2 linked regions of the Kluyveromyces lactis genome follow. The protein of the gene in region 2 interacts with the protein of the main gene of each other region in a biochemical or structural test. Links are inferred from orthologs where the notes say so. Each region holds a gene or a part of one and is shown on either strand. Other genes may lie near its edges.

Region 1 (2,904 bases), on a different chromosome or scaffold from region 2:
CATTCCTTGGTATTTTGGGCCATAATTCTTGAAGGGCGTCTTTGGTACTTGCAAAAAAATTCTCATTAATGAAAGGATCCACAAAGTTGTCAAAATTTAAAGCTTTTTCTTTGTTAAAAAGGGAAGACATTCGTTTCTTAGCTTCATCAAAGTGTTTCACCAACCTTTCATCTTCTTTCCAATTATATTGTAATTGAGATTCTCGAAATATTTCTTTTAATCCTTCATATTCAGCAAGCCCTTTCCTTTTCCTAAGCAGTTGTATCTCTTTCCATATATCTTTTGTAGAATTAACATATCCTTGATCTGATGTTTGAAGGTCTTTCTTAAGCTCAACAAAATCATGGTGTAAATCCCTGAATTGAATTTCTTCTCTGTTTAAAATGAACTGTGGAATAATATCCATTTCAAGAAAGGTCTTTCCAATTCGATGAAATGGATCTATGTCTAAAACATTTTGATTCGGATGCAAGTGTTTTTTCAAAAAACGTTCCAAAGAGTCCGTGTGCAATATTTCATTCATATCTAGATCAGTTAACAGAACAGGTTGCCGAAAATAGCATTTGGATAGTTTTAACCATCCGCAACCAAATAAGTTATAGTCAGCCATCATTTGCAATAAATAAGGTATATGAGCCTCAAAGACATCCACTTTTGAGGTGAATATTCTGCCATCTCTAAGTAATTCAGAGAGTTTATTACTATATGAACCATTCAAAAGAGTAATTTTATAGTAAGGTTCATATCCTACGTGGTATCCGTAAAATGGAACGCCTTTGACAACGGACACATTAGCAATGTATTTCAGGGAAGTTAGCTTCTCTTTAAAATCTGTTTTGGTAAAAGTTTCAATCATCCGTGTCTCAAGTATTTTGTGCAAACTGGTACATCTATTCCGTATTACTGATGCTTTATCATTCGAATGTCCGTCATATTTGATGAATATGTAAGGGAAAATGCCATGGCAATGAATTAGAACTTTGTGTCCGGTAGATAAACATCCATAGAACCTTAGTACTGGCACCTGAACAAATCGAAGTCCAGGAAGGCTCTTACTAGTTTTACAATCCAATAGAGTTGGGAAGCATTGATAGCTGTCTGAATTATTAATCTGTATGTTGATTTCATTGGAGTCTAAGCTGGAGTCTAAAGAACCAAAAATATCACTCATCTGCAAGTAATCATCATATCAGATTACAGTCACCTTAATGTAGCACAGTTATATCTTCTGATGTAAACGATGTGAATGGTATAAAAGTAATATCCTTGATTAATGGGTGATATACTGTGACCAAACTTCAGATGAGAAATAGCGATGAGCAATCCTGCAAAGTTGGGCTAAACTTGATTATAGTTGGGTATATTAGTATTCATGATTACCCGGATATTGTGATCATTCTGATACGTAATGAATAATCATATTTTAGCTAAAGTGATTCTCGTATACTGGAGTTGTCCGAGATGAAAGTGAGATCTAGTTGAACAACATTCACCGCAAGTTCCTAATCGAATTTAATAGCAAATGTTACTTTAAATTGTTCTAATCTAGATTCTGTGGTATAGGAAGAAATTTGGTGATTCTATAAAATCCACAGTGTGAGGTGTATTTACAATGAATAATGACAACACAAAAGTGTACGTAAGAGTGGCAGGTAAACGACCTGAAAATTTTGTCGAAACAAAACCATTTATTTGGGATTCTCGTCGAGATAAGATTCTATGGACCAAAATCTCAAAAATTGACTCGTTAGAGGATATGGATTGGCAGGAATTGGGGGCTGATTTAGGTGCACCAGAACCCTTTCTCAAAAAACGGAGTTATACTTTATTTCAAAATCAACTAAAAGTTTTATCGAACCAAATAGACGTTACATCTAATACCCGGTCCTCATCAGAGTCACGAAATTCCGTTGACAACAACATTCTCCAAAATTTACAGGCATCAAGAATAATGAATCATAAATTGGATAAGACGGACAACTTAGCCAATAATCAAGAGTCTAGTAGTGAACTTTCGAATTTAAGTGTGAGCAAGTCAGCACTTGAGGACGCATTGATGGATTGTTTACAACTCTGAGAGGCATCTACTACATTTGCATTCAAAAAACCAATTATCCTTCAATATTGCCCTTCTCCGGTTGACGTCAAGGTGTAATATACCCTTGTAATCAATACAGAGCTCTTCTCCCTTCTGCACATCAGTTTGTAGAATGTATTGAAAGACTCTTTCGACCCTCTTTTTCTCCACGTTAGGCACACAGGAATGGTTAAAATATGAGGCCTCCGGATGAACCATATAACCCAGATATTCCCTATCATCGTCCGACTCTGAAGTCTCCCAAATGCCAAATGAGTTTCCATATTCAGAACCAAGGATATGTCTAAAAACTGATGTTGTCATGATATACCTATACTGGGGAGCTAGAGTATAAACCCATTTGAAAACTTTGATCTGAAACTCCAGTAGAACAGGGAATCTCATTATTTTCTCCACTTCATTTGACTGAAGTTTTTCCCACGTATTCCACTTCACACTATTTCGATCCAAATGTGTCATGTTAAATAAACATTCTATCACAAACCTGATACAGGAATAATGATCCTCATCTATCACTGGAAGTTGGTTGGTGGCCTTGGCAAGTTTCATTTTGGAAACTCTAGGCATCCAAGTACTTTCTAAGTCCATCCAACAACTCTCAATTTCCTGATGCATCCGCTTATTATCGTAGTCTTTATACAATTCCGTATCTGTTTCCACGCACAGGCTTTTACCCTGTATCGATTGGAAATGCGTTAATATCATTTCATAATTCAAAATAAGATCAACAATATTCGGTCCACTTAGGAAGAAGTTTTTACACTCTTCAGTACAAAACCAAAGCCCGCTACCTTTGTACTTCTTCT
Region 2 (3,585 bases):
AAAGCAGGCAGCGTACTCATTGACCCTCTCTACTCGTCCTGAGAAGTACGTTGGCGATATTGAAGTATGGGATCATGCTGAAGATGTATTAAAGGATACTTTGCAATCGTGGGGGCAACCATGGACAACCAATGAAGGAGATGGTGCCTTCTACGGTCCTAAGATTGACATTTTAGTCAATGATCATACAGGCAAATCACATCAAGTCGCCACTATTCAATTAGATTTTCAATTGCCAGAAAGATTCGATTTACAATTCAAGGACAAGGATAATAGTTACAAGAGACCTATCATGATTCATAGGGCTGTTTTCGGTTCGGTGGAAAGATTCATGGCCATTTTAATTGATTCAAGCAAAGGTAAATGGCCGTTTTGGTTGAATCCAAACCAATGTATGGTCATCCCAGTGAAGACTGAAGATGAGAAGATAATGGAATTGGCTTTCAAGACAGTCAACTCATTACGTGGTGAAAATAGTGATCCAAAAAGCCCAATTCCACTCAACAGCTTCCATTTCTCTGTTGATATGGATGCAAGAGATGAATCTGTAAGTAAAAGAATTAGAGAAGCCATCAAGAAGCATTATTCTTATATTATAATGATTGGTGACAAAGAAGTTGAAGCAGGCAAGGTGGCGATTAGAACCAGGGAGTCGAAGAAAGTGGATTTACTAACTATCGATGATGTCTTTGAAAGGTTCGTCGATCTTGAGAAAAATTATAAATGATACCTTGCAATTTTTGAACCACAGAAAGTAATGTTAACCATAACGATGTAAAAGATAATTTATACCTGTAAATATGTATACTTATGTATCAATAATAACACAATACCGTCAATTCGGTACATTATGTATGCTATATTCGAAACTATACATCGATTCCATATCGTCGATATAACCTGGCCAGATGTTTTCGGGAAGATAGTCACCATTTTCAAGTAAAAATTGCTGGCGTTGGTCCAAGTCAGCATCACTCAGTGCCTGTAGTTTCTCCTGACATTCCTTTAATATTTTCTCCATTTGTAACGCAGTGGCTTTCCGTCTGTCTCTTTCTCGTAGAAGGTTTTTATACCCTAATTTGAACTTATCGTAAAACTCACAGAGTTGTTGCACTTGTTCAATCTTTTTTATGCAAGATTCCTTATAAACGAATACTAAATTAGCAATCTTTTGGAAGATAGATAAGTATTCCTCACATTTTTCTAACTCTGTCACAATCTTGGAAGCCAGCAGATGGAATCCACCAATTTTGTCCATTATTTCACTTATTGTTTCATTGACTTTCTTTGAGAAAGCTTTCACTTCAAGTCCCGTTTCGAATACTAATTCCCTTATATTTTCTAACTGTGTATCGTCTTTCTTTACAATCTGGAAAAGTTCCTTCAAATCTGGTAGTGGAATCTGCTGTTCCTTCAATATCGTGCATTTGTCGAAATGATCAGTGATTGATCTCAAGAAATCGGCAAGTTCATTCTCAAATTCGTTCAATTCAGTGACATAATCACTTTCCAACAATTTGAATAGATTATTTTTGCTATCCCTGCTGAAATGTGAATCAAAGTAAGTTCTGAGTTTTTTCAACTTTACAGCCACTAGTTGGTTTTCTATTCGATCTTTTATCGATTTGTAGTGTTGTCGTATGTTTGTCACTTGTTGTTTTATAATAGGAATCTCATCGATTTTTTGTTGTAGTATGTCTACGTGATCCATGCATATGAAATCTGAAAGGCTACTGTGATCGTCAGTCAAGTCGTATTTTGTACCCTGCAAGATCTTCATCTTTGTTGTTATCTCGTTTTGCCAATAACTCACGTCATTGACTATCTCGACTAAAACCAGCTTTGACCATTCATTGTCAATCAACTCTGTAGAAATACATTTCTCGAGCATGATATTCTTGAAGAACTCAACCTGGTTCACCAAACAATTAAGTATAAATTTAAGTTTAAATCTGGACTTTTGAGAGCTGTCCATTTCAGTTCGCACTTTAGAGAGGATTTTTAATGATTCTTCACATTCGACTTGAGCTTCCACAAGCTGGTTTCTCGCCTTATTCCACAATTTATCTATCTCATCACTGGGTATAGTAGTTGCAGCATCACTCATTTCTTGTAGACGCAGTTCAGATCAACCGAAAGATCTTCATCTCTTCAACGTTTCCAATTTGAAACCCTTAAACGGTCAATTTCACTTCGAAGACTGAACTTCAAACCTTTAAATCTTTTCAAAGTATGAATAAATACCTATTAATCGGAGTAAAGATTGAAAGGAGTATCAGTCACTCCAAGTCAGCTATTACTACTCCAGTGATTCAGTATAGATGTCAGAACATATCAGTGACGATGATCAGTTCAAAAGAAGAAAGATCAGTATGACAATGAATAGTATGGTATTTACCGATCCATATGGATATAGCGATGACAATGAAGAACAAAAAGAAGAAGAAGACTATGAACCGGTACGACAAGCCAACTCCAATGATGGATTGAAAAGCGACCAGATGTTAAAGACCTATGGTATGGGTGCCAAGCTTTTATCAAAAATGGGTTACAAACAAGGTGAAGGTTTAGGACGAGATGGGAAAGGTATAGTGAACCCAATCGAAACAGTCACTCGTCCTAAAGGTGTCGGATTAGGGATGTTAAGTGCAGTACATGATAGAGATGACTCCAACTATAGTAATACTTCAGCATCATCAGATGAAAGTTCAAATAAAAAGAAAACAGTGGAGTTTAAGACTCGTCGTGCCACCCAGCTTGAGAAATTGATTCAAAATATAAGTCTCCTTGCGGAATTAAAAATAGAACTACCTGATACGGTGACAAGAACAATCAATGGTTCTGAATTACATGAAGAAGAGATTTCCTCTTTGAATGAAATTGCTAATAAGCTTCTGCAGCTTCATTCGGACATAGATAGAATACAAGTTGGCTTGGAAAAAGCTCAACTAGATGACGAGCGCAAAGTACACCAAGAGGAAAGGCTACAAAGTGTTTTAGAAAAAGTCAAGGAAAAACAACTTTCGCAACCAAGTCTTGAAGATCAGATTACTGAATGCCTAGAAATAAATGACGATGACATACTTGATAAGCTCTGTACCATGTTCTTGCTCAAAGAGCTTAATCGTGGAATTAATACGGCAGATATGCAGGTCGAAAAGTTGAACCATTTGAGGGCAGCAATAAGGTTTCTTTCATATAGAATGGAATCTGGATATATTTTGAACGAAACACAAAGCAGCATTTATAGGTTGGTGTATCAACCCTTATGTTATTGGTTAGATTCAAATACCGGATATTCGAGGATGCTACGTCAAATAACCGTTCAGTATTTACCTATTATTGACTTTATTAGCTGCAGGGAACACTTCCTTTCCCGCTACATTATGCCGGCTCTCGAAATACAACTTTCTCCTCAATTTCTGTCAGATGAATTCATGGTGACATACGGCGAGTTGCATCTCATTTTGGGAGAAAGGGATTTAAAGTCATTAAAAGCACTTATCCTGCTGGAGTTCGAGCAGTTTTTGAAAAATTGGGAACCTTCAATGACTGTTAACCCTCAAAACGTTATTCTCTTGAAGG

What was found. The genes of interacting proteins can lie anywhere in the genome.
Region 1: the proteins of ATG17 (region 2) and ATG29 form a complex in vitro, tested with the Saccharomyces cerevisiae proteins (2 studies listed by BioGRID). The link is inferred for Kluyveromyces lactis from reciprocal best matches to the Saccharomyces cerevisiae genes ATG17 and ATG29.

Annotation. Positions count from the first base shown.
Region 1 is NC_006039.1:856,793-859,696, forward strand, and holds ATG29 (Atg29p), read left to right. Parts: upstream 1-1,612; coding exon 1,613-2,077; downstream 2,078-2,904. Other genes in the region: REV3 (DNA-directed DNA polymerase), read right to left, coding at 1-1,171; SET6 (Set6p), read right to left, coding at 2,066-2,904. UniProt on the Saccharomyces cerevisiae protein: Plays a role in autophagy. Functions at the preautophagosomal structure (PAS) in order to form normal autophagosomes under starvation conditions. Also plays a role in mitophagy and regulation of filamentous growth.
Region 2 is NC_006040.1:231,903-235,487, reverse strand, and holds ATG17 (protein kinase regulatory subunit ATG17), read right to left. Parts: upstream 2,108-3,585; coding exon 836-2,107; downstream 1-835. Other genes in the region: threonine--tRNA ligase MST1, read left to right, coding at 1-727; mRNA splicing protein SPP382, read left to right, coding at 2,322-3,585. UniProt on the Saccharomyces cerevisiae protein: Autophagy-specific protein that functions with ATG13, ATG29, and CIS1/ATG31 in response to autophagy-inducing signals as a scaffold to recruit other ATG proteins to organize pre-autophagosomal structure (PAS) formation.